Oreochromis niloticus: one gene and its partners. The protein of the gene in region 4 interacts with the protein of the main gene of each other region in a pairwise test. Links are inferred from orthologs where the notes say so. Each region holds a gene or a part of one and is shown on either strand. Other genes may lie near its edges. The genes, in order: ndufv2, meox2a, nmnat1 and ccnc.

Region 1 (7,095 bases), on a different chromosome or scaffold from region 4:
GGTAGTTGGAAGTCAGACTTCCACATAATGGTTATGCACTTTCTAACAACACATAGAGCCAGTTCCAGGAACTTCTGTTGGCTTTTTTCGTAATTGGGTACCAACCTTTAAAATCCCCTAATAATCATATTTGAGGATCTAATGGAAAGAGTAGCTCTAAAACCTTTGACGTAATGTTGGAAAATTCATGCCAGAATGCCTTTACCTTTGTGCAAAAACACAAACGCTCCTCAAAGAGGAAACTGGTTTATATTTATTTAATTTTTGTGGCGTAATGTAAGTTTGATGGAGAATGTTGTAATGGGTCAGTCTGTATCTGATATGGTTACATTTAAACATTTCTGGCATTATTCCGACCATCGTTCTGCCTCAATTGTTACATGCAAATCGGACTCCCACATCTCCCGTGACCTGTGTAACCCCGGTTTTGGAGCAGCACTCACTAAGACAGAATACACTTTTGAAATAAGACAAGGCTAGGACAAATACAGTTTCTAAAAGTTTCATGATTAAAGTCCATGCTTGTGAAAATTTGTTTATGCATACACCAAGTAAAGAAAGCTGATATGGTGTTGCTGTTTAATCCTGTTTTATGAAGCCCATCGGCAAGTCTTTTTCCTAACCCTTCTAAAATGTATTTACATGAATAATTCATTTTTCAATAATAGACAAACATTGCAGAAGTAAGTGAACTTCTGCCCCAGTGTAACTTTAAAAAAACAATGTTAGTGTGACATAGTAACAGCTAGACTGACTGAGTTGAAAAATGAACAGTAACAATTAAACTTAGTAGTAATATAGATAATATTAGAAATGACTACAAATTGTTGCTGTAATTTACAAAATTTTCCATGAGCTGCTGATCTGTAGTAACCTACCATGATGAGCTCACACAAAGTATAAAAAAAACCCTGTACAGCATCCGCATGTACTCTCTGTTTTTGTCTGTCACCTTCTACACATTTTGTGCACTGAGGAACAGAAAGTGCCACTCACCACAAAAATGCCACCAGCTCCAGCACGTACAGCAGACTGATGCAGACTCCTGGCCTGCAAAACAGAAGAAAACAGGTAAAATACCTAGTGATGTCATGGAACTAAATTCAAACTGATCTCAAATGCCAACATTTCTTGCAGCAAACATGTCACTTACATGCAATACTTTTGAGTGCACAGCATATGTTAAAAATAATGAATCCAATTCATGACTTGCAGGAGTTCATTCTTTAAGACCTAAGTTGAAGTTGTGTTAGTTCAGCGATAACTAAAACCCAAAACATCAGGTGGTGCAACCAAAAACATGAGGTTTTTATGTAAAACTAGGATAATATTGAAGTAAACGTTAACTTAATTTCTATTTTATTTTAATTTTATTTTCAAATTATGTGTGCCCTTGGTAAATTAATACAGGTGTTCGAGTAAAAAAGTTTGAAGTGAACCAGGAACTGGAAGGGGTGAAACTGCAGATGTCAAATTAACATTGTGATTTAAGATCATCTGTTAGTTTTCTAAATGTCTTATTTGTCTGTAGATTAAACTCCTTCAAGTCATATTTTAAACAGAACTGATGCACTTAGACATAATAAAATATTAATCTCACATCAATGATCCAAAGATTGCAAGACTAAAGACTGTAGGTAATTGTTGACTGACTGGCTCAATGTAAAAACTATACTAGTAATAAATCTTTAAAATACAGACAGCAATAAAATGGAAGGTTTGAGCCTAAAGTTAAGATTTTTGTTTTCTAGTATTAGAAAAAAAATATTTTGAGAAAACTTCCTCTAAAGCTGTGAAGTGTAAAATGCCACTAAAATGCTTATTGGAAAATCATATTTACATAAAGTATGACACAATAGCGTAAAGGTGGGTAAAGTTGTGTAAAATAAACCTCTTAGTGTATATTTTAACATTTCCCACTGGTCCGAAAGAAGTTACGAAAACTAAATAACCCCAAATCTATAGATTTCTACTTCTAGTCCACTATATTTAGAAATTACTTGCTGTACTACATTTATACTACTGAATTTTCTTGAAATCTTAAGCTGCGAATAATTCTACATCACCATAATATTAAATACACATCTTGTAACAAATTATGCCTTATCATTAAAGTTTAAGCTGCAGAGCTGTATACAAAACAATTAAAATGAGCCCCAATTGCAATGTTGGATTGATTATACTTATATAATCAATATTTATGATCTGATAGTACGATGTAATGTGTATGACTGTGAAATGTGACATTCTGCATAGTGAATACTTTTACTTTGGATAGCTTAAGTACATGTACAGTAACAAATGTGCAGTTTTACTACTTTACTAGTAGAAACTTTGCACAGTATAATTGATATTTAACGGATCTAAAGCTTTCGCAAGCTGTTACTATAAACAAAACAACTTCACGATTCTTGTGCAGAGCCACTTTTATGTAAATCATTATTTTATGTAAATCGCAAACAGTGTTATCTGATCCAAGTTTCCAGCTAGATTAATATGAGGTGATTCATATTGCTGTGTTTTGCCATACTGTGAATTTACAGTAGCCATGCAAGCAATTATATAGGGTGAAGTTAAAGCCAATTGCATGTAAACGAGCCTGCTAAAACCCATTCTAACGCGTATGTTTTCCTTTCGCTGCCCATTTTTCCAGCGATCGCCTTTTAAAAGTTTGACAGCAGAAAGCTAATTTAGCTAGCATGCTAGTGTTACCCAACGTCATTTTGCTGAGCGGCCTCCACTGCATGCCCTTGTGAAGAGTCATAGCATTTTTTTCTCCAAATTATCTAAAATTGCACCCAAACTTTTCCCCAGAACCATAAAAAAATCACAACCGTACCGCCTGCGACACTGCAGAGCGAACAGCAGCAGACAGAAACATCTTGTCGCTTGAAGTTTGGTCCCGGTGCGTTAGGAAATGAACGGGACAGCGGTAGCCGACATCAACACAAGCGCGCTCAGGTTCGATTCATACTGTCTGAAGCACGACGTGACGTCTGTACGTCTCTGCGCTGAATCGATCCCAGATTCAAGTTGGAGCTCAAAGTCAATCAACGTTGAATGTTTGCGAAAATTTCTTCTACATTCAAAAAACAAAATTATGCAAATATATATTGAACATTTTCATTTAAAATATGATAACAGAATAACAGAGTACAAGAAATAAAGACGCAGTAAAAACGGTCAAACAAAATTATACAAAATGCTTCACAAGAAACTTTTAACTAATATCTAATATTACTTTAATAAAAGTGCTCATTAAAAAGACAACATACTGCAGTAAAAATACTGCTATAAATTTAGTGGGATTACCTTTGGGATCTCTCTGAGCCTCTTTTTGTTTGCTGTGGTGATGAACAGGTTGACAGACAGAGGTCAGGAGTCTTCGTATATTCTGATGTAGTGAGAGTTGGTAGCAGGTGGGAAAAGCCTGGAGAAGTGGAGGTATGCACTCCAGGGAAAATGAATTATAGTCAGAATAGAACACATGTGCACGAATGAAAAAGACTGTAGTGAGACCTGCAGTATCTGAAGACGGTGCTTGTAACAAAAAGACAGGAGGCAGAGCTGGAGGTGTCAGAGTTGAAGATGCTCGTTGGGAGTGACCAGGATTAACAAGACTGGAAATCACTGCATCAGCAGAGCGATTCGTGGATGCAGTGAAACAGGACAGGGAGAATGTTGACGTGACATAGGAGGGATAGGGTGAGAGGAAGATGATCCGCTGTGGCGACCCCTAAAGGGAGCAGCTGAAAGTAGAAGCGGACATTATAAAATTGCGAATAATAGTTTGTCTCAGGTTAAATTGTTATAACTTATTTTCTACCGAGTATAAAATATTTTTATTATTTCTGTATTTGTTTTTTTGTTTTTTAAGTTTTTCACATGTGTTTTGTCAGTGGAATATTTTTTTCTTTTCTCTAAGGGTATTTTTTAACTGTGCTATTTTTAATGTTTGCAATGTCAGAGAATTAAAGCAAAGCAGGCTGGAAGCAGGGGTTTTACAGTGAGCTTTTCTATAAGAAATGTATTTTTTAAAAGACTAAGTTTTATGAAATGTTAGTGTTAAAAGGATTCAGGAGCTGTCTCTCATAGCAGACATACATTGGGGATTGGGCAGGGTTTGTTTGTTTACTCTGAAAGTGAATAATTGTTTCATACGTCTCTATTATTATTATTTTCTTCTTTTCACCAAGAGCACCCATCAGCCTCCTCCTTTCAAAATAAATGTTTGCCTGAATCCCCAGCATTTATCCTGCTGGGGGTATACCGCCTCCTTGTCCTCCTCCACCACCCACTTGCTTAGAAACATAATGTGATCAGCAGGCCAGGGATGGCTCATCCAATGAAAAAGTGGGAGTGCTGCACTCCATGAGCTGATTGGCTGCCCTGACTCTAAGCAGACTGAGCCAGAGCCTGCAGATCAGGGATTAGGGTGGGTCTTTCTGCATGCTGAATTGTGTTGGTTCAGTACAGGCCTTGTAGTGTTCTTACCTCACCCAGGAGGATTCAGACAGACCAGCAGGGACTCAGATTATACCATTTTCTGACTCACTCTCAGATGATATAGGCCTGTCTGCATCTGTACTTCCAAAATGGTTGTTCCTGAGTCTCAGGACAAAATGTACTACCCTCTTAATGACCTGCAGAAGGATGCTCATGTGCCCGACTTTAACTCATATCTGGCATTGTACCAAAAGTCTCTGGAGAATCCAGAAGGTAGGTCAAACTTGTCTGTATTTTTAGTGCAGCGCTTGCAGTGCTTCCTTGCCATTCATATCCCTTTGAGCCTGTCTGCATGCAGTATCTCTTTGTGCTAATCTGCCTTATCTGCATCCCATAACATTGATCAAAAGTATCCTCTGTTTTAGCTTTCTGGAAAGAGGTTGCTGATGAGTTCTTCTGGAAGAAGCCTGCAACAGAGCCGGTGCTGCAATACAACTTCGATGTGACGAAAGGGAGCATTTATGTGAAATGCATGGAGGGGGCCAAAACCAACATGTGCTATAATGTCTTGGACAGACATGTGAGGGAGGGGAGCCTTGGTGAAAAGGTTGCCTATTACTGGTAAGCACCAGCATGCCCCCAGAGGAAATAATAGCTATGATGGGAAACGCTGTCTGGAGTTATGCTAAGTATTCCAGTCAAAAACAACTGCTGTGTCCCCTGTGCTGACCCCAGAACACCAAAACAAACCACAGGCAGCACACATCACTACAGCAGTGCTTCTTCTTCCTGTCAGAAGCAGAAGATAACAGTTTACAGATTTTATACACTATCTGTCTAACAATTTCTTATTGTTTTTATAATGCAAAACTCTATTTCTATTTGATTAATCAACTACAAAAAGTCTAACTAGAGCAACTAACTTCACTTGATAGATGAATGTACACACATTACATTTTTAAACTTATTCTAGCTTTAAATTTTAAGCCATTTAAATGATTTGAACCTGCAGTTGCGTGCTGATCACCCCGCGCCCTTGTCAAATTACAATAAAGCCTCTACTTTATGATGTTTTATCATTATATTATGACAGTTATTATTTGCTCTGTCAACTGTTTAAGCTTAGCAAACAGGAGGGTTGTTCTGCATGCTCAGCAATATAAGGGTTCAGTGGAACTTGGCATACTGGAAATCACCTGTAGGAGAGCATTAATGCTGTTTACACTAAAACAAAGCACTTGTATGATATACCTGCTTACGTGTTTGCCATGACTATTTTAGTACACTCTGTAAGGAAACTATAACTATCAGCTGTGGTGACAAGTTATCAATTTCCACATGGTTTGTTTTGAGCAACAGTCGATCACTCATGGGACCTTAGCTCACGCTTTGTCCAAGCATAATTTGCACAACTGTCTAAAGTGGTAGAACAATGCCAAAAAAAAAAAAAAAAATAGAACAGCAAAAATGCTGCAAAGAGTCCCATTTCAACAAAAATCAGGGGCTGTGAAAGAAGTTTAAGCGACAAATCAAAAATAAACACATATTAATATAAAAGTAATCTGCTTCTATAGTATTTGTATAGATCAGTATAGATTAAATATGGGAAATTTGATTATCTCATATTTTTGCAAGTGGAGTCATATAAATGTTGGAATTAAAGAGGTCTCATGATCGACCCCTGCGGAACGCCATGACTGAATTTGGTTTGCTCTGCTGTACATTTTCCAAAAAATAAATAAAGACTTTGACAACATATATGCAGGCTATTTCACACAGAGCTGAGTTACAACATTTTCTATCACATCTTGAAGTCATTTATCAGTTGCAGAATTTCATCTCTGCAGTCATTTATTTCATCATTCCCATTTGGCTTGGTACCATGCTTTCTGCTGCCCCTTCAAGTGTGCCAAATTGTTTTCCAAATAACTATCCTGACAAACATCCAAGCCTGATATAGACTTAGCAACAACGGGAACAGGTTATCTCTACTGTGAACTCAAAGAACTCACCGGACAACACTGTTGGGGAAAGTGGGAAAGTACTTTTGTGTGCAATTGTTTACCAAAACAGACCAAGAGACCTCTGTAGAATCACAGACAGGTTTTGTAATACATTTATACATTTGAAAGTTTCTCTCTTGTTTGCTGTCTTATCAGGGAGGGAAACTCACCTGATCATCAAATGGCCATCACCTACAGCCAGCTGCTGAGCCATGTCTGCCGCTGTGCTAACGTGCTGAAGCAAATGGGTGAGAACCTGAGATTATGGCCATTTAGTCCATGATTAGTCCATAATTATTTAGTCCATGATTATAATACAGAAGTATACCTTTACAGATTTTGCTGACAAACTTAGTTTCAGAGATACAGAGTGGTAGTAACTTGTTTTATATGTATATATATTTTTATTAAGGTGTGAAAAAGGGAGACAGAGTGTCTATCTACCTACCGATGATCCCAGAGCTTGTGTACACAATGCTGGCCTGTGCCAGGATAGGTGCTGTTCACTCTATTGTGGTAAGTACTATTATGACTTTGCACCATATGCAACAATTTTACAAAACTGAAAAATCTTTTTTTTTTCCTGTTCAAAAAAATTTTAAATTAGGGTATTCATCTTTTTTTCAAATTCTTCACAGGACTCGCT
Region 2 (7,400 bases), on a different chromosome or scaffold from region 4:
ACAGAAATGCGTCGAATCTCATGTGAGTAAAAACACAAATGTATTTTTCCCATCTCAAGCCAGAGTTAGTCCGATTGAAAATGACAAAATGATTTTAAAGCCGTCACAATTTTTTCTTTATGCTGTCTTACTGTCACTCCCTGAGAGGGCTGCCGTTCTCTTTATGCAGTTGAGCTGTAAACGGAGACAACTTTTACTGTCTCTCTTCATCATATATCACTGACATCCCGCGATCCTGCATACGGACAATATTCCTGACAACTGCTGTAAATCTGCGGCTGAAGCTTGAAAGGAAATGAGCAGCGACGACAGTTTCCACACCACCCGCATACATTCATCCCGACACAGCCACTGTCCCTGTTCTGTTATTACTCACAAAATCAGCTCAGTGTGATATGGTATTTGTCAACGAAGCTGTAGCACATTTAAGTATTGCCTCCTTATTAAGAATCTGAGTCCTAAAAATATGTTCAAGTTACGGAGCCTGACAAAAATGAGGAAAAACTACTTGCTGCTACTAATTTGAAAGGGATTTTCTATTGATGACAATCGTGAAAATTGCTTGTCTTCCAACACGTTTGCTTGCAATTTTTATTAAAAGGGATAATAATAAAATTTATTTTTAAATAAAAATCACTGTACTCACTCCATCTTGGGTAAGGAGAAATCAGTGTTCTACCTTCTGCAGGTTTCTACTTATTTACAAAGACACTTCGGTTATCACGTCCGTACTTCGCTGCACGCTTTAGAGGCTCACTGAGTGTTATACACTCTGAAATGTTTCCATATTAGCCGGAGACTAAAACAAGAGGAAAAAGTTTAATACTGATTACACACACACTGGGCCTTTTTAAATGCTCATATTAGACTCTGAAGCCGAGAGAGCCGGCATCAAAGCTTTTCTGTAGTGAAGCATATTACACATCCGGGCCCGTTAAATTTGGGAATGTGAGTGCAGCAAGTGGCAGCAAGAATAACTGAAAGGATTTAGTTTTATCATAAAGTCTGGTAAGCTGGTGTGCCAGCAGATTTCTTTTTAAATGCAGTATATAAATATATAGTGTTTTGTAACACACTCTAAAGTTGCTGCATGTGGACATAAAGGCAGCAATTATAACTTCTCCTAAAAAAGATATTTTACATTATTACATCTGTGTTTTTCTAATTTGTGTTTGAACGTGAGCCCCATAATAACATATTTGTTACATATTAACAAATATATTAACATCTTTGTTCACTGCCAGGTGCCATATAAGGCTCATTTACATGCTAAATAAAGGAAATATGAAAACATACCGTTACCCTTCTCTCATTTTTTCATTTCTTTAATGCATACAACACACTTTCAACACATTATTTCTTTTATGCCTCTGTTGGATTTTTGTTTGCTCTGTTTGCTTTTGATCATATCATTGCTTGTGTGCTTATCTGTGTAGTACCTCTGTATTGGCCTATTGCGTTTCCAGGTAAGATTTTTTCCTTCCAAGCTCTCAGGGGCTTTTAAATCCAACTACACAGCTTCCTTCTATTCTTTTCTTCTAATTTTTGCTCTCTTTTGTGTTTTGCCTACAAGAAAAAAAAGAAAAGAAAAAAAAGAAAGAACCCTTAGAAATTTTAATAACATGTTAAAGAAAGGCAGATATACTTTTTCACTGTTTTACATTTCAGCAAAAGCCAGAACTTTCACTGTTGCTGGCTGGTAAAATTTCAGCAATTAGACAAAGTTTGGTAATTTAGCAGCAAATGACGATGTTAACTTTAAACACCATCACACACTCTTTAAATTAGTATAAGAAAAGGAGTAAAGTGGTAGCTGCATGTTTGTTTTGGTGACGGTGGCACTGAGCTGTGGTTGCTGTAATGTGTCCTGCCTGTGGGACTGACTGACAGCCACAGGTTGAGCAGCAGGTCTTTTACCTTCAGTTTCTGTGTACTGCAGAGAAAACATGCTGCCCCGAGCCCCGCTTTAAGATCATCGCAAACACAGCCTCTTGGTAGCCTCTTCTTTTGAACTTTTTATGCTTTACACACACACTCGCCTTAAAACGTCATGTCACATGTCATCACATAAAAAGTCAGACAAATGTGTGCTTTTGGAGGCCAACACAGGTAGCGGTGGATTTACAGCACCACGGTTTGTGCCAGTATTCAGAATATCATCATTCTTATTTCCAAATAAGAGTTGTTGGGTTTTTTAAAATTTCAGAGTTCGAACACATTTGAAAATGCATTTACACCATCATGTGACACTAAATATCTTCACTGAATACAAACTAATGACGTTTACTTTTAGGGTTAGGCGCTCTTAAAGGCACAAAATGTAACCAGTGTCAGGGATTACATTTAATTTATAAAAAAGAGAAGCTAATTAAATATATAAAATGTGTAAAATATTTAATTGCTTTTATGAGGGCAATAAGACTCTTTGATCCTTCATTTTTTTAACAATAAAAGATGTCGGCTTTAACTATGAATGTATCCCTATTTTACACACCAACACTCTCTCACTTATTCACACACAAGAACATTTTGCCTCATAAAGCTCACAAGGGCCAAAGACTCGGACCGACTGAAAACACCCACGCCACAGGCCATCGGTGTAGCGAGACCAGCAATAGGATTGGAAACACGTGTGTAGTAATACCTGCTCAAGGCCCTGAGCAAATATATAGCCTGGGCTAACCTGCTAATAGCCTTAATTTGTAAGATAAACAGTAGAAGAGTTTGACACTCACTCACCTAAGGTGCCTTTCCTCTGCTGCGCTGCCTCTGCTGCCTTCAGAGGCTTTGGAGGGACTGGGGGGGAGCGACAGCGGCAAAGTTACAGCCTGCCTCCGCCATGCTATCTGTTAAAGTAATTTTCCCTCAAAGAGGAATTAATTTCCTTTCTCAGGCGGCTCACAGAGCCCCATGGCACAGCCTGACTGGATCCCTAGAGTGTGGAGTCATCGTGACCGTCTCCCTCTAAAACCTGGCCGAGCCATGAAAGCTCTGAAGCAGCTTTGACTTTTAATTTTGTTTTATAGATTATATTGATTTAATTTATCCTGTGTATTCTTTTATTTCATACTGCGGGCAGTGTGCAAGTGTGCTTTTGAATTTTAGAAAACAGAAATAGGAAGGAAAGGAGATATCTATCAGACGATCATTCATCTGTATTTCACCGAAAATGTAAAACACTTAAGTTACAATTTAATTCTATTATATGAACCATCAATATCACACAAAGTGTTACATTTTAAATTACGTGACTAAGAAAATGTAATTGTATAGAACCAGATTTTTATAATTCCCCCATTAGGTCAATACCATACAGCTACAAATCATTATTATGTCTCATCTTTTTCTTCCAAGACTTTCTGTCTTAAATGAGGTTGACAGGAGAAAAATAAATGAATTTTATTTGATTTTATTTGAGCTTTAGTTGAGCTCTGGATATGAATAATTAGAGAAAATAAGAGAAACCAGTGACACATTCACAGCTGTTTCCCAGCTGCTATTTTCCCCCTACTTCTCACAAAGAATGACTTTTCTTTTATAGCCAAACAAATTTAAAGAGAGACACTAATGTTAGGAGCAAAAAATTTATGAACAACTTTCCTTCTGTTCATTTCCTTCTCTACACACGAATACGCTCCACATACTAATATTTAATTTATATATATATATATAAATAGAAATTGTTACAGGCATAGTTTATATAAAAACAATGTGTTGGCATCTACAATTGTATAAAATAGCATTTCCACATTTGCCACAGCAATTATTGGTGATAAAAAATAGTGGAATAAAGTTTGTTATTTCAGGAAGCAGATTTGTGACCTTCACGACCTCGTATCAAAAGTCGAAATGTATCCATATCGGTTTAATGATGTGTTTCATTTCAAAATGAGATAAACACCATTTCCAAAAAAAGTCACATTCACAAAATGATTGGTTACACTACATTAAAAAGGAACCGTGGTCATTCTAAGTCTAGCATGGGCAAAACGTTAGCCTTCCTTTCACTTATGAAAAGTTTGGTTCCAAAATATTTGTTTCCAATAAGTTGCAAGTCTGCGTTGCAGTGACAAAATAGCTCTCTTAACATCACATGATCGTGATAGTGATGGCTTAAAGTGACCTTTAATGGACGCTACAAGCATCCTTGCCCGCTACCACCAACTTTTGACAAAGATGGGGTGACACGCTGAGTTAACCTCTGACACCTCTCCTTCGCTCTCTCTTCACACTCTCTCCCTTCCCCTCATACGACCTCCCTCTCCCTCCCCCAGCCCCACCCATGAACCATTAAGGCTGTTTTCTTGTAGGAAAAAAAGATGGCCACCCGAGGTCAGATCCAAGTCCAAAATAAATTGCCTTCTTTCCTGAGGCTCAGCCATTTTAATAGTACAGATTTATTATGCTGTGCTTTTTGGAGGGTGATCATATGTATGTGGTCAGTAGCGCGTATGCAGTCTATGACCCAGCCTCCCTCTCACGTTACACCCTATTTATAACATCCCCTGCGCTGGCTCCCCTCGTTCTGCAGTTCCTAGGAACCTCCTTCTGCTCCCAGCCTCGAGCTCCAGTCCCGTGTTCCTCCTGACATCTGAGAGGCTCAGCTGCAGCTTGTCCTGGGCTAACTGTTTATCCTGTACAGCCTGGCAACTGGCCGCATGCTCTGGATTACCACAGGACACCCATTTCAAAACACATTTTACTTGCTGCTCTGACCATTTTTTCCTAACTGAAGAGAAAAGTTTTGGGATAGTCAAGGAAGAAAGGGAAGCATCTTGGATATGCGCTTGTGATCTTTCTGATTTTGGTTGATTTAGTAACATTGCCTCTTACGCTTGCCCTTCTCACCTTTCCCGGAGGGCCGTGTGTGTGTTTGCACACAATGGATCACACACTGTTCGGCTGCCTGCGGAGCCCCCACGCCCCGGCGCAGGCCCTGCATCCCGCCTTCACCCAGTCTCCTCTGGCGCTTCACGGACGCTCGGACCATGTCTCCTACCCTGACCTGGCCTCTTCGTCGTCCTCCTCCTCTACCTCCTCACCCTCGCCCTGTATCATCTCCAGCTACCCGGGTGACGACAGCCTGTTTCCTGGGCAGCACCACCACCACCCTCACCGCGGCCACCTGCCCTCCCAGCAGCATCACCACCCACCTCAGCACCATACATCTTGGCATATCCCGCAGATGCCGTCACCTGGCAGCAGTACTCGCCACAGCCTTTGCCACCCACACTCCCACTCATCTCACGACAATGGGCCCACGCCTTCAGACCTGGGCCACCCCGGTGGGCCCAGTATGTGCGCCAGCACCCCCAGTCTAGGCAGTGGCAGCACCCCTACAGGGGCCTCTTGTGTGCCTGCAGACTTTGGCAGACAGACTTTGTCACCTGCTGAGGCCGAGAAGAGAAACGGCAAGAGGAAAAGTGACAGTTCAGGTAAGAGAAGCTGGGATTTTCCGAAGCGATAAGTGAAGCAGTTCTGAAGGCAGAGATTTCATTCGTGTGTTTTTTAAAGCTGACACATTGCACAACCCGAGACTTCATGTAAAATACTTTGGAGGCATTTCTAAAATGTCTTTGTTCATTATTTTACTTGGATAAACATTTTAACATAAATATCAGCATTTAAGAAATTCCACACAGAGCTCAAGAATAACAGAAACATCTGTACACATCACTCTAAATCATTCAACAGCACAACTGTTGGGAATTCTGCAGCTCTGATACAAAAACAAAAAAACGTCTGGAAAGCGGTTTGTAGGTGCCGGCTGACACGCAGCAAGGCGGGAGGCGACAGGCGGACTGAAGCGTGGAGCAAAGGCCACATCATAAGTGTGCAGGCACATCTGACTACTGGCATGTTTTGTTTAAAAATCACATCTGGTTTGTTGCAACACTTTTTAGAGAGCTGAGAATAAAGAGGGCAGTAAAGAATTAATGTCATGGATTGTAAAAGACTACACCGGTGCCTCATGGCACACTAAACAACCGGGCGGACGCAAATTGTTTTCATTTACTAAAAACTGCAGTTAAAAGAAATCTCAGGTTTACTGAAGTAAAATGAAAGACTGGGAAGTATTTGTAGTGTCATGTTTAACAAAGGCCAAGTTTAGATAGGGAACTTACTACTGTTACAAAATGTATGTAGCTAATCATATTAATATTTGACCTTTTTTCATTTATTTTAAATGATCTTATTATCACAAAAAAAACACGCCACTTAATTCCTACAAAATTTAAAAGACCATTACAAGTTTCCTTTATTTTTATCTACAGGCAGTTGTTCAGGACAGTAAAGCTCCCGAGGGCAGTGAGCTTTAACACACCTTCTTGTTAAATTTTACATTTGTGATTCTCCCAAAAATCACCCATAAATTATGCATGTATAATCATTTAATTGCTCTTGAATCGGGCCTCATTCATACAAATGTATTTAAAAATTCAAAACCACAGATAATTATAAAAAGCACACTTCTCACAAATCATTAATAAATAAACACCTTTTTAATACTATATTTAAATTGATAATAAAGCAGCTGATGACCTGCAAAACCTTTGCAACCTGCAGGCACCACAATAATCAGTCACACGATGATAAATGGCCGGGGTCGAGTCGCAAGAAATCTCACTAGCAAAGTGATATCAGTGAGAGTTTCTCATAGAAAGTCTGCTTGCCAGTTTGTGTCCATTTGAGGATTTCAGCCTGTCATTGCTAATCCTGCACCCTTTGGATAAGGTCTCTGTACTCGCAGTGCATCATCTGCAGTTGACCGGTGATATTCCCACATCTCCACAGGATACTTGGAGAGTGTGTTTCTTCCCCCTCTGACTGGTTGGGTGTTGCTGTAGCTGACAACAAGTTTATATACCAAAAGTTAGGGAAATATAACAGGATTAACTTTAGACTGACTTTAAATAATAACACAAAACAAAAACACCACTGGCACTAATTTAGCTTTCAATCCAAATTCCGTGGTGATTATTAGAAACTCCATAAGTGAACTGAAATATTTGCCATTTTACAACATAAAATGACAGATTTCAACATTTTATTTTCCTTTGCACTAAATGTCCAGTTGTCCACATGCAAAATGTTGAAATAGTACATTTAACCCATTAATTCATCACTCTACCTCCTACTCCCTTTCCTCTTTTGTCAAATCACTGGAAAACTGAGCCCTTGCCTCCAGATCCCACTTCCTCTGCAACAATAGTCACTGCATACTCATTACATGTGCAGCGCATTCTCCCAACGCTAACACCAATCACGCTGATTATTGGGGCTAACTAGGCTGCTGACTCAGTCAGCTGTCTAAATATCAGAGCACTGCCTGTTGCATGAGATAGAGCTCTGATTAGGTTTCACCATCTGGACGAGAAACTTGAGCGAAACCTGAATTT
Region 3 (7,178 bases), on a different chromosome or scaffold from region 4:
TTTGAACAGCAGGTGGGTGGGCCTCCTGTGCTGAGAGCATATTTATGATACCCACTCTCAGTGACATCATACAGAGCCAAGATTTGAAAAATGTCTGAAGTGAACCTTGAGAGCAGTTTGAAGCCAAATCTTTAGGCACTCCGGGACGACTTGAATGTTTGCCGATCTCATTATTTCAGACTTTGGCCGTGTTTAAAATGAGCAGCCATGACTGTAACAGTGAACACACTGATGAGATACTTTATTAGACTTAACCTGCTAGTATCAAGTTGGACCCTCCTTGCCTTCAGAACTACCTTAATTCTTTGTGGCAAAGATTCAAGACGGATACACGGTGGTCATAAAGTGATGGACATGGCCTGCAGTAATACTCAGGTAAGCTGTGGTGTTTATTCGATGCCCAAAATGTTTGAAGACAACAACCATGACACTTTCAAAGTCACTTTAAATCTGCATTTTGGTACTCTGTTTGACCATGCCAACATGCATTAAGTTGCTGCAATGTGATTGGCTGATAAAATATTAATGCTGATGAGCAGCTGAACAGGTGTACATAGTGGCAGGTGAGTGTACATGGCGGGAAATAAAACACGAAGCCTGTTGTTAGTTTTCTTTTTACTCACATTAAAAGTAGCAAGAATATCAAGATTAATGCTGTAAACATTGTGACATTCACTTCTACACAGACTCTGATGCGAGTTTAAAAACTATCAAACTTCATCACTGTCAATATGAAACTACAGTCATCAGTTTGAATTACATGATAATAAATGCATAGAGGACTCATTAAAATAATGGAAACACCCAAGTGACACTGAATAGTGGTAAAGCCTCTCAATTCATTACTTCATCCTGTAAAATCTTTGTATTTTCTCTGTATTTTCTCCATGAACAGACTGAAGACCCACACTATTAATAAAACTTTATGATTCTCATATTCTTGGACGACGGCTGCTCTAATCCACCCTGCAGACTCAGCACATTTCAACTAAACTGGTCAAAGACTCGTCAAGTTTTACTAAAGATATCATCAGACTCTACATCCCATCGGCACACAAGTGGTTTACAAATGTATTCATATATAAATGCAATTGTAAATTGGTTATAGTGTACATATTAATCGAGGCAGATCCGATCATCTGAAGCGCTGTAGTTCTGACACATGCAGTGTTTCTATTATTTTATCCAGAGTCCTGCAGACGGCACAGTTCTAGCTGAAATAAAACTACACCCTGAAGGAAATCAGCATCATAAAAACAGCACTGTTGAATGTTGAATATTGAAATTTTGGAATAAAGAATCACTGCACAAACCACAAGATCATAATAACAAACTGTCTGCGCCGTCCTCTACATTCACGCGCCTTTTAACAAATCACACGCTCGTACCTAAAATACATTTTTACACTTTATCTGGACGATTAAAAGACATTTACAAAGATTGACGTGTACATATAAAACAATACTGTTAAAAAGTGTCAGCGTCTGCAGTAGCACTTAAAAGCGCACTGATTGTTTAGAAAATCCATAATTGGATGGCACATTTTTGTCTTAGTTAAAAACACACTTTTTTTTGCAGAACTGCTATGACTTTGTTTTCACACCAGAGCTAGCTAAAGCCATTATTTTGTCTTCAGACCCTGAAAAAAGGAAGGCAAAATGAGGTCAACAGAAATATGTGAGAAAATATCTGTCTTGTAGTAAAATCACCTTTATGCTCACCTTGGTTTGCAGTCACTTTTTCAAACTGGCTCAGGGTCGCTGTGGCGTTTTCAGTGAGGAAAGTCTCGTCTTCTGGGGTGAGCTGTCACGTAATTACAACATGAGTGAAAGGAAACATTTGAGGCATTTCGAGGCAGCTAGTGAGGGCTGCATGACTGAAATGAATCAGTTCAGACTTTACGTGGCACAAGCCGCTGAATCATCCTAGACTCTAATCATGTGTGCTCTGAGTGCTCCTCACCTTCTCCCCCAGTTTTCTCAAGGCAGTGAGGATTTCCATTTTCTGCTGCGTGTACACGTCCCGTGACAGTTTTCCCACCATCACATCGCGGTCCATCTGCACAGTACGTCACACACCGGTTGGGAAATTGTCAGGCAAATGAATCTCCACATAAACACTGAGGTGTGACTGAACTCTGCTGTTGTGGTCAGAAATTTGCGTACAATCGTGGCAATTTGGGGCTTTTGATAATTTCTTTGAACTGTTCTTCCAGAGTGAAACAATTTCACAGCAAACATCTTTCATGATATTAAAAAAGAAGAATTTTAAAACAACGTTGAATTTTTGGGGGATTTCCTCCAATCCACACAGGCTGAAAATAATAGGCTCAAATATAGACATACGCTCACTTAAATCTTTTAATAAGTGGCGCTAAAGGTTCTACATGTCTTTTAACTTGAAAAAATTAAGTTCTACTAACTAAGCTGTTTTGCTGCCAGTGTCACTGGTACACTGTGCAAAGTGGATGAAATAATGAAGGATGAGGAATACCTCAATTCTTCAACTTCACCTCAAATGAACACAACACATGATCAGAACAATGATCCCAAATACACATCAGAACTGGTTTCAGTTTGGATAAAACAGGCTAACATTAAGCTTTTGGAATGACCTTCCCAAAGCCCCGACTCCATCCTTGTTGAAAATGTATGGACTGCGTTTAAAAGTCGTGTCTGCGCCAGGAAACCAACCAATTTAACTGGATTCTGCCAACACTGCCAAGAAGATCGGTTAAATATCCAGCAAGAAGTATGCCAGAAGATTGTTGATGTTATCCAAAAGTGGGGATGACAATTTAACCAAATATTAGTGGGGGTGTATGTTTATGTTTGAGCCTGTATGGTTTAGAGAAAATCCAAATTAAATTCAATCTTGTGCACACAATTCATGTTTTTTCAAGTCATTAAAGATAAAAAAGAAGTAATATAGAAAGTAAAAATGAAACATCAAAGAAATCATTAAATGCCCAAAATTAACATGATATTCATCCACATGGGTGGGTGTGTAAACTTCTTACCACACTCTGTGTGTGTGTGTGTATTATACAATATAAATTTGACATTGCAAACCTCTGCCAGTCTGCTTCTCAGCTGTCCTGGCTGCTTCTTAGCAAAAAGTCGTATCACCTCCGGGGTTTTGAAGGCTTGGCTGATGGCAGCTTGGATCGCCTGATGAAGACAGAAACATCTGAACGTTCTGATATTTTACTAATCATCAGTTTTCTTAATCAATGTGCTATAACATATTTAATGCACTCCTAATACACAGTAGTAGCACATTAATTGTCCATACCAGTTGCATCCCACTGAGTTCATCCACAAGTGTCATATCTCCTGACATTATTTTCTTTAAGGAGTCATTGAATTCACCCAGCTGCTCCAAAGTTTCCTTCTTTGTCTCTTCGTACTCTTCCTCATCCAGATCTTCTCTGGAATAAACAAATGAAGGAATGAAAACCGAGACACAACAGAAGAATAGAGAAGCATTTATTTACCCACTGTTTTTATTCTCTCTGTTATCCTTCAGGTACTGCATGCCAGATTTTCATATACAAAAAGCACACAGGAGGAGTTTATTGTTTTTCTTTTTCTGTACTACACCTGCATTCCTCCAGGTCCTGAAGCTGCTGCATTAGTCTGTCAAGTTGTTCCTCCATATTCTGCTTCAATTTTCCAGTTTCTGATTTCCCTCGAGAGGCCATCTTCAGTTAAAATCCTATTTTTTCTACGGGAACTGGGAGAACTGGCACCAAACAACAGATCACGTTAGGTTTTGTTGCTGAGGTACTTCACAGATAACTCAAAGATGACCTAACGTGCTATTTCCACTCGATGAGTGCAGAGCTGTTGGAGTCAGTGGAAAAATACATAACATTTTATCAGATCTAACAGTCTCTTTGGCGACTACACTGACAGGATAAATTTATCTGTGTGTTGGAAGTTCATGCAAACAGTCCAAGTTGTTTTGTTAGCTAAACAGCTAGAGTGCATGCTAAAAGAAAACACCTTACCGGGACTTTCTTTGTAAACAGCTGCAAATCAGCCTTAGTAGAATGTTAGCATTTGCTGAAGAGTTTGTCGTAAAGAAGGTGGCCGTACTAGAGGAAAATTTAAAAATTACTTAAAAACACGGCTATAATACGTTTACTATTAGTCGAGACGTTTGGGATTTGGGGAATTTGTGATTGTGAACGCAGCACCACCAGAGCGGGTGCGGTTCACCTCTTCCTGGTCTATTGTGTCCAATCAGATTAGGGGATCTTACAGCGTAGTCCGTGACGTCAAAACAGGAAGCGGGTGAAACACAAATGGTATCTGTGGCCGTTTCTCTTGGTACTACAATATTTGACATTATATTAAAAACGCATAATTTGTTTTTGAGTTAAGCACCGAGTTCATGCTTTGTCTGTTTAAGGGTCCTGTACGTGAATCTTTGATGGAAAAGGAGCTGTGTGCTCAATAGATAAGCTAAAGTTAGCTACTTGTTATAGTCGAATGCTAACGTTTAACGAAGATAAAGCGTCAAGCTTTAGTTTTCTTTACATTTGTAGTTAATTAGTTAATGAAGCTCACAGACTCTAACTTTAAACGAGGTTAAACTACTCTCTTGATACAAATATACCGTTTCCTCCCCCCCACAAAGCGATTCTTGACATGTGATCAGCCAAGTTTAATTTGTCTTCGTTTCTTCTCCTTGTTTGTGCAAACCCAGGTCCAGTATGAGCCATGGAGGGTCACAGTATAACCAAAGTGGTCCTGCTGGCCTGCGGGTCCTTCAACCCCATCACCAACATGCACATGAGGATGTTTGAACTGGCTCGAGATCACCTGGAAGACACAGGTTGAGTTACATGACAATTGGGTCTTTTATTGCGATGCATCTCCACCTTTATCAGTTATTCATTAATTTTTTCCCAAGTTTTGTGAACACCACAGATTTAATTCAGTTACCCTCCATGCTCTTCAACTGAGTTATTCTAAAGGCTAAAGTCTCAAATATTATCATCATGATTTAGTTAGTTAGATTTAGTTAGTTCTCTCTGGGTACTCCAGCTTTCTCCCTCAGTCACCCGACGTGGAGACATGCATGGGGTGATTCTAAAATTACTGTAGGTGTAAATGTGAGCATGAAGGGTTCTCAGTTTCTATATGTTAGCCCTGCAACAGACTGGCAATCTACCCAGGATGTACCCTCTTGCTTTATGACAGCAGGGATAAGCATCCAACCCCCAGCAATCCTGAAATGGATAAACAGAGGAAGATGGATGGACAGGCAAAAATTAAGTGAAATGGGTAGCTTTGTCTTAAAAAGGGATTGTGAATCAGTACATTGGAGAGACAAGTGTTTTGGATAAAATTGTTATACCTATAGTCTAGTTCAAGAAGGGATTATGCTTTTGTAAATTGATTAATATGACACTACAGAAAAGCTGGCAGTATTTTAATATTGCATTATTAATAGACACTATTAGGTTGTGCCTCATGTTTCATTTGGGAGTTTTATGCCAGATGCCCTTCCTGACCCAACCCCAACCCCCAACTTCTCTCCAGCTGGAATCACTTTGCATTTCACCACATATTTTGATTTGGCAGATCTTTACACTGGATGCCTTTGTGTCTCCTCCTGGGATCAAACCAGGGATCTTTTTGTTTGTTAGGCTAATGTGTAAACCACTACACTATCGAGCTACAACCAATTATTTATTCAGTAAATGCTGGTTTCTTTGATTCTGGATTCTGTTCTGCTCAGACAGTTTCCCATGTGTCATTTCTTGTCTACTCTACTGTTCTGTCCAATAAAGTCTAATAATTCATCTCAAAAATTAAAAGAAAATACATTATGCAGGAAAAACTGAACTTATTTCAAATACTATGCAAATTTTACACTTATTATTATATTTTGCAAACTTGTAATGACCTTTGTATATGTTTGTAGGAAAAGTACTAGTAATAACTAGTAATAATTGGGGTCAAATATAATATTTTACCTGACCAGTACTTAAACACATGTCTTCTTTTGTGCGTAAGGTCAGTATAAGGTGGTGAGAGGAATCATCTCTCCAGTGGGTGATGCATATAAGAAAAAGGGCTTGATTGAAGCCTGCCACCGTCTGGAGATGACCCGATTGGCTACCGAAAGCTCAGACTGGGTTATGGTGGATTCCTGGGAGAGTTTGCAGCCAGAGTGGGTGGAAACAGCTAAAGTAGTTCGGTGAGTTGGCATTTCTTGCGTCTGAGTGCTGGGAGTGCTTTTGTGTGGTGTATGTGGTTTGTCTTGAGACAAAAACTGTGTGACACTACCTGTGACCTTTACTGTTTTGTTATCTGTTGTTTTCTGATTCACCTTTATTACTGACTCACCCCAAGCTGCGCACTTCTTTCTCTATTATCTTAACATTATCACTGCAAGTAATAAACCTATTAAAATACTGATTTCCTAAACCTAAAGCATCTTTAAATGACATGTGATGTAGATAATTACTGGGAACCTTAATGGTAATTGATTTATGAATTCTTTAGATTTGGTTTGTGTGTGTGTGTGTTGCATCATGTAGTATGAACTATTTTTACACACAAAGCGTCAAACTCCCTGCAGTTACACTGGCTCACACACTGCTGAATGATAGACTCTGTATTTTTCAACACATGTCTTGAAACTTTTTATCCTTTTCTAGATAAATTAATTCTTAAAGTAACAAAATCCATTATGGAGGTTTGATTTAAACCTTAGGGATTAAAATTAAACTTGTGCAGGCTTAATTAGATATTAGATAATTAACATCATTATGCCTCACATAAATGAAATCATTATTTAGAATCTTTGTCATCTGTTTTCTCGTGGCAACAGGAAAAGGAAGAAATGCAAGTCAGGAAATGTGAGAGCCTTTACTGGTATGATACTTGATACATGTTATGATTTGCTGAATACTTCCCAGAACTTTGCAGGTGCAGTTCAAACAAGATAGAATCAGACAAAGTCAATCAAAATTCCATAATTATTTAAGGTGAAGGCTGAAATTATTAAATGCTGATGGTGTAAAGAATCTGAAATAGTATCCCAACTGCAGCCTCACAGACCTGAAGAAAAAACCCCCCATAAAAGGCACAAAAGCAGTTTAATAATAAGATCAAATGCGTTTAGCATAATGAGAATTGGATTTTGGAGCACTCATTTGC
Region 4 (7,048 bases):
CAGAAGTAATGTGTCGTCCTGTGTTTGTTTGTGTTTGGATCAGGTGTTGTTCAGCAAGGCAGCTGAAGAGAAAATCCAGCAGCTGGCCGAGGACACAAACGTCAACGACAAGAGGAAGAAAGCAGCTCTCCTGCTGCGAAACACGATCAACGTCATCAACCAGGCACGCTCACACTGACATCCGTGTTGAACTGAGCTCATGCAGACACCGGAGCTCTGTTGTTAACGTCGATATTTTCTTTTAAAGACTGTAGGAGATGCCATTTCTGACATGCTGCTGATTGAAGCCATACTAGCCATCAAAGGGATGACTATCCAGCAGTGGGACACCATCTATACCGACCTGCCAAACAGGCAACTTAAAGTCAAGGTGCTCATATTGTATAGTTATGTATTATATCCAGGATATAAAGTGTGAGTGATAGAAAGAAATACAGCACTTTACATTTAATTTACAGCAGTGCCGACCCAAACTAAGGAGGCTTTTATTTTGTTAGATAAACATTTGTGTACTGTAACCCTGCACATAGTAGAGTGTCTGTGTCTACTTCAAGCCAGTTAGAGATAGTGGCTCCTGAGGGTGATCTTTTTTCTTTTTCTTTTTTTCTGTAGGTGGCGGACCGCAGGGTGATAGACACAACAGATGCAGAGAGGCGGGCGGTGACCCCAGCAGGCCTGCAGGAGGCCATCGACAATTTAGTAAAGAAGTACAGACAGGCTCGCTCCTTCGTGAGGCCCTCCGGCACCGAGGATGTGGTGAGAGTATACGCAGAGGCAGACACGCAGGTGAGAAATCTATTTTCCAAGCTTTCTCTGTTATTGATTCTCATGGCAGTGTTACTGAGGTTAAAAAATATCTGGAAGGGAATTGTTTTGTGAATAATACTCTGGCTCTCTGTGTTGTTTCAGGAGAGTGCTGACGCCCTGGCACACGAAGTCAGCCTTGCTGTGTATCGCCTTGCTGGAGGAGTTGGGGATGAACCCAAACCATTGCATTAGAAGCACAATCACACAAACACACCATATTGATCAATCAGAATTACAGAATTGCTGATCATTATTTTATTTTTATTTTTATTTTGTTGAAGTCAGGTGATACCAAATGATTTTATATTGTCTTTATTTTCCTTGTATTACTGTCACTCTGATGATGGGGTACACATTAGGGGAATTAATAAAGGTTGGGGGAGTTGTGTGTGTGTATACATAAAATTCAAACAGTCAAACAACTGGTTTTAAAGAGGGTTGTCATTTCACTTGGTCCCAGATATTTGTGAGCAGTTATTTTAAATAATTCCCTTCATTTTCATTAAATCATGTAAGTTTACATAACGACTGTTGAATCGGCTTTGCTGCTATTATTTGAATTAAATAATGGATAAAGAGGAGAGTGGGGGTTTTTTTAATTACAGTGAAGTAACACTGATAGAATTCTATGATTGAAATGAAAACCACAACTATGTTTGCAACATTCTGGATAATAAAACATGTATTTATAAGTTACACTTGTAACTTATAAATACATGCAGGTTATCACACATTTGATTTCCATGTGTGACAACTGTAAGTGTCCAGAGTCAGGACAGACTGAGGGACCCACTGCTGCAGATGATCTGTGAGACTGCACCCCTGATGATCCACCAGGACAAACTCAGCAGTGTCTGAAGAAGAGTCGGCACCAGCTGACAGACTGTTCCCTCTGTGTGAAGGACTAACAGAAAAGTTTAAAATAACTAATTATCTGTCCTGAATCAGTCTTATTAGGTAATGTTAAAATAATTTTATCATTCAAGTGTTTTCAAAGTGGGAGTAAGTACTCAGGACCTTCAAGTTAAACACTATGAAAGGCACTAACAAGTTTACTATTCAGAAACCTAAAGTATGTATCAGTAGCAGAATGTACCTAAAAATAAATGTCAGTTTTTTTCAGTTCTATGAAGCTTTGAGTATTTTGGATTAGTATTACTGCTGTGTTAGTTGCATCATATTGCTGTAATTGTTTATATACTTTATATATTTTGAGGTAAGTTGATCTATAGTGTTACATCATATTCTATGAGGATGCTATGTGTTTGTATACTTTCTGCCCAGTTTGACCCATTTACCAGAAGTCGGCCTGTTTAAGGCTCTGATATCTATTCTGTATCACTTAAAGCAGTTATGACATGGTATGATTTTCTCATCCTATGAAGGCACATTTAATATATCAGTGTACTCTTCATTTTATCAGAAACAGTTCTCACAGCTCGTACATTTTCTTTTCACACATATATGTAAACATTCAGACAAATTTAGTAATGCCAACATATTAAAAGAACAATATTTGTCTCTTATATATAATACTTGTACATATACATATAAATATTTATATATATATACTATTATATATACTATAAATATAAATAACTACAAATTGAATCTTTACTGAAGCTCAGTATTTGAAACAGAGTTTAAACTCACTGCTGTAATAACTAATAATGATTAATATAATAATAAATTTAATATTGGCCATATTATAGTAACATTACCAAAGTGAGATGACTTTAGTCTGATGAACAACATTAGCTAATTGTTATTTAATAGCTAATCTTAAAATTACTGTTCCGTACAGAAATGAAGCCCAACAATCATGTTTTTACAGTCCCGTTGTCTCAGCCTCAGATACTTATCAAATCAAACAAAGCTCATATAAAAACAAAGAGATGAACAAAAAAAAGTCTCCCTCATTTCTGTCAAACAATGCTGCATGAAGCGTTTTTATCATGGTTGTATCATGGTTGCTAGGCAACCTGAGCAGCGTCCCATTTCACAAGCCTTGCACTTCCGGCCTTCTTGGTCTTCGGAGGACCCGGCCCACGTGGACCGCGAAGGTCCGGTCCTCCGAAGGATGCAGCCCCTAAATTGGGACACAGCCTGTGTTCTCTGTGTCTTCCTTGTCATCCTTGTCTCTGCCTTTGTGTGTTTCCTGTTTTACTTTGAAAGTCTGTATCCAGTGTCAATGTACTGTGTTTTGCTTCCTCCCTGCCTCGTCATGTCTTATTAGGTTCAGCTGTGTCTCCCTCCTGTTGCGTATTTCCCTCTTTACTTGTGTGTATTTATGGTGTGTGTTTCCTTCTGTTCCTTGTCGGTCTGTTTTTGTGTGTCATTCCTTCATGTTGCCTTCGCGTTTCTCCTGCCTCCTGGTTTCCTGTTCCTTCCCTCTGCTCACCATGCTCAGGTTATTTTGTTATTCTTAGTTCTGTGACAATTTTATGTGAAATTATATCGCACTAAGAAAATAAGATGTGTTATGAGACATTTTCACTAAGTGAGACAAATTATTATGATGTGATCTACTAACAATGCTCTATGTATACAAAGATTCAGACTGTTTACTTCGGTGAAACCCACATTCAGCGCGAATTAGTGGTTTTAAGAGCACATATAGTAATGCCTGAATGGTTCAAACACACTAACAGTTATATTTGTTGCAAATTCAGCAGAGAGAAGTCACTCACTGTGCACTCAGAGCTGAGAAAATGAAGCTTATGAGTTCATTTCTGTTTAGTTTCATGAAAACGGTGTTAAGAAAGAGAGCAACTGCAAATTTTATTTTCAGTCATTTTATTTTTCTATTTGTTATGTGCATCATTGTACTTTTTTGCATCTGTATTTTCTTTAACTTTTCTGTAATAATTCTGATCTTAAAGTGGTTTAAATGAGTGTCTCTTTGTTGAGGGCAGCCTTTTGTCTCTCCAAAAGAGTCCTTCAAAGCTACTCTAGAGTCTAAGAACAAAACACAAAGCAGTTAATTTGGGATGAAGAAAAATAGACTACTATCAAATGGACTTGATATTATTTCTGAGCATTTAAGACAATCTTTCATGCCTTCTTCTCCTAGCAGTTGGGAAATATGAATTTTGTTAAAAATCTTTTTTTTTTTTCTTTTTTTTTTTTTGTGGCTTGTTGGTTTAGGGCCATGATTCTCACGTTGGGTGTGAGAGGTACTGGGTTCAAATCCCAGATGAGCCTGTGCGGTGTTTGGGGCTTTGCTGAACTGTTCATGCAAGTATGCATATATTGAAGTAAACTAACAGTGACACTAATAGAAACTAAATGAAAGCAATTCAAACAAAAACTAAGCTGAAATAAACGGTCACATTAGAAAGTAAGTTAAATTTAAAAAAGAAGAGAATGCTAAACTACAGTAACTCTGCAGTTACCCCACCCACTGTAGTAGAAGCTGACTTGTGTGAGTGGGGGCAAAGGAGGTGGCTGACTAAAGATGAGCAGCCTTAGGCTTAGTGTCGTGGAGGGCGAACGGATCCAATCCTCAGCATTACAAGGTAAGCAGATATCTAGGTGAAGTGTGAGTCCGACCATTGCTGGTTCTCCATGTTTTCCAGAGGAAGGGTCAACTCGAAGACTGAACTTCAGGAAACACAAGGAGGACTGCCAGGGAAACTGTGGTTACTTTTGCTGGATTAAATTACACGAAGGTTGGCTGAGTTACCGCTGTAGAGGAAAAATGTTCAGGCAGAGAACTTCTGCCACAGGTGCTCCTTAAATACCTGGTCTTGATGAAGGGAAATGACAAACCGTAGCAAGCCTGTGACCATCAGTCCTAACAAAAACGATACAAGATATCAAGTAATCTTGAGCCACAAACAACATTCCTATCGCAAGGAAGAAGCTGCAAAGTTTTTGGCACTTTTATAAATCCTTTGTAAACTAGATAAATAGTGTAATTGGCATTTAAGTCTTTTTAAGAGTAGTCTGGCCAAGACGATAGCAGAAATTACAACGCATATAACAATAGGTTTATAAAGATATTTAAAGTGCAGCAGCTTTTAGGCGCATTGGGGATGGTCATTTTTCACCAGATCATCTGCTCATCTATGGCGGTAAATCACATTTGTTACCTTGTTTTCTCCTGTGATTTCCCTGTGTAACTCTGTTATCATCTCCCTAGTAACAGCACCTTGGTTCATTCCTCTGTCTCCGTACTCACCTGATTTGTCTCCATTAGGTTATGTGTTCCATACACTGCTACCTCCACGTTCATACTTCATTCTCTCTACTCCTGCAAAAGAGAGAACCGGAACTCACTTGCCTGCTCTCCAGTTCTCTGCCATTGATTACTCAGCTCTGGAATATTCCTCTGTTGCCTGCAAACGGCCGACTCCCTCCTCTCCGTTGCTGCGAATCAAGTAAGGCAAACTCCGCTATCATATCACACAGTCCCCGCCTTAGGCTCCATTTCAGAAAATCCTGCACAGTGAAACTCCCCCTATGTTTCGTTGTTTCCTGCCAAACGATAAACCATTGGACCCTCTGGGGTCCAGTGTATAATTGGCCGGTTTTGGATTACTTTTGATTTTACCTCCGTGTGTGTGTTGCGTTTATCTGGCCTTGTCTGGTATCATTCTTTTTGGCACAACCTCACATGTCTGAATTTAAAGTGATTATTTTTCATTTTGACATAATGCATTAACACAATTAATCTGAGTTTTTATTTATTTATTTATTTATTTTTTAACAGTCAAAAACCACAAGCGGGTTTAACGACTCCTTTTCATAACTTTAGTTTATTTTAATTTAAACTTTAAAAACCTACAAACTGAAATGCAACGATTTACCTAAAAATGCAGCCAATGTCTCAGCTGTTTTTCATCACCATTTAAAACTGTTTACAGCATAATCAGGTGCTCTACATCAAAGGCACACAAATTACACAGGCCTGCAAAATAATGTTTGGTAAAGTCTGTGTGTGTTGTGTGGTTGTTTTTTTTTTTTTTTTTTTTTTAGGGTGCTCAATCCATCATGTACAGTTTATTTGTTTTTGTGTTTTTGTTTTTTTTTTTTGCACGAGGAGTTTACAAAAAGCACAACAGCGATGAAAGAAATATTTTATTACAATTACCTAGGCATAATTTTCCTAAGATTCCTTGCCTTTCATTATGAACAAAATAAACCTGGACATGAAACCGGACATGATCGTCTGAGCATTTTCTATTTGTATTTCTCTTCAGTCTTGCGTTTAGAAATATTAAATTCATGTAAGAAATCATCCTACTTTGACTCAAGTAGGATGCCAGATTTCAGCTTAAAAGGGGAAATTGTACAGTTAATTGCACTAAACATGACTTTTGCAAGACAACCTGACACGATGGAATTTTTAAAAATATTTTTTCCGGTTTCAGTGAGTAAAAGTCTATAAGAAACAGTCAAAATCGTGTGTGTGTGTGTGTGTGTGTGTGTGTGTGTGTGTGTGTGTGTGTGTGTTTTTCGGGGTTGCTTCACCATGTGCACTGCCTCCTCTTCAGAAGCAACAGATTTCAAACAGTCATCCACATAAAAGTTTCTTTTGACTGGATCAACCACTTCAGCTGGAAATTGCTGTGCATTCTCATCTGCAGTTCTCTGTAGAGCATAATTTGCACAGCTTGGTGAAGATGCTGTTCCAAACAAATGTACTTTCATCCTGTATTCCTGTGCAGGCCTTGTAGTGTCACCATATTGCCACCACAGGAAACGGAGCAACAGACTCTGGTCTAAATCTGATCAGAACTCCAACCAGTGAGTTTCTGAGATCAGGTCCCTGTAGAAGCTGACTGTTCAGTGATGCTCCTTTTTATAAGTTGTTCCAGTCAAATAAAACTCTCCTTGCCCTTTGGGATGATGCACTCCATGATGAGGAATGTACCACACCTTTTCATCACTTTTCTGCAACTCATCTGCAGGCACAAATTCAGCATATCCTTGTTTAAGCATTTTGTTTACACATGCAGTATATTCATCCTTACAGCAAGCATCCTTTTCAAATCTCAGTCTGAGACTCTGGGGATGCTACTTCGCCACACAGAGGTTATTTGGTAAGCTGGGACTTTCTCTTCTGAAAGGCAAATCAATGTGATAATAATTTCCAATAAGTTTTATTGAGCTACTAACAATATCCATGAAACACAGATCCCCCTCTTGATATTTCAGTCTGCTTCTCTGATCTTTCACTAAGTCATGGTTGTACTGTTTAATCAGCATTTCTTCTAGACTCTCAACAGAAATCCTA

Evidence for each region.
Region 1: the proteins of ccnc (region 4) and ndufv2 interact in binary tests that used the Homo sapiens proteins (3 or more experiments, as listed by UniProt). The link is inferred for Oreochromis niloticus from reciprocal best matches to the Homo sapiens genes CCNC and NDUFV2.
Region 2: the proteins of ccnc (region 4) and meox2a interact in binary tests that used the Homo sapiens proteins (3 or more experiments, as listed by UniProt). The two-hybrid records come from large-scale screens. The link is inferred for Oreochromis niloticus from reciprocal best matches to the Homo sapiens genes CCNC and MEOX2.
Region 3: the proteins of ccnc (region 4) and nmnat1 interact in binary tests that used the Homo sapiens proteins (3 or more experiments, as listed by UniProt). The two-hybrid records come from large-scale screens. The link is inferred for Oreochromis niloticus from reciprocal best matches to the Homo sapiens genes CCNC and NMNAT1.

What each region holds. Positions count from the first base shown.
Region 1 is NC_031982.2:24,772,335-24,779,429, forward strand, and holds the start of ndufv2 (NADH dehydrogenase [ubiquinone] flavoprotein 2, mitochondrial), read right to left. Parts: upstream 3,004-7,095; 5' UTR 2,882-3,003; coding exon 2,840-2,881; intron 1,051-2,839; coding exon 997-1,050; intron 1-996. Other genes in the region: acss2l (acyl-CoA synthetase short chain family member 2 like), read left to right, coding at 4,596-4,719, 4,872-5,067, 6,606-6,697, 6,862-6,965.
Region 2 is NC_031976.2:32,487,976-32,495,375, forward strand, and holds the start of meox2a (homeobox protein MOX-2), read left to right. Parts: upstream 1-4,381; 5' UTR 4,382-4,882; coding exon 4,883-5,435; intron 5,436-7,400. UniProt on the Homo sapiens protein: Mesodermal transcription factor that plays a key role in somitogenesis and somitogenesis and limb muscle differentiation. Required during limb development for normal appendicular muscle formation and for the normal regulation of myogenic genes.
Region 3 is NC_031984.2:22,077,633-22,084,810, forward strand, and holds the start of nmnat1 (nicotinamide/nicotinic acid mononucleotide adenylyltransferase 1), read left to right. Parts: upstream 1-4,175; 5' UTR 4,176-4,312; exon of another isoform or gene 4,313-4,334; intron 4,335-4,713; 5' UTR 4,714-4,727; coding exon 4,728-4,842; intron 4,843-6,029; coding exon 6,030-6,213; intron 6,214-7,178. Other genes in the region: protein LZIC, read right to left, coding at 1,584-1,639, 1,722-1,803, 1,963-2,058, 3,072-3,170, 3,295-3,430, 3,603-3,703.
Region 4 is NC_031980.2:6,953,181-6,960,228, forward strand, and holds the start of ccnc (cyclin-C), read left to right. Parts: upstream 1-4,040; 5' UTR 4,041-4,264; coding exon 4,265-4,325; intron 4,326-5,008; coding exon 5,009-5,189; intron 5,190-7,048. Other genes in the region: pgm3 (phosphoacetylglucosamine mutase), read left to right, coding at 44-163, 248-370, 613-786, 910-999. UniProt on the Homo sapiens protein: Component of the Mediator complex, a coactivator involved in regulated gene transcription of nearly all RNA polymerase II-dependent genes.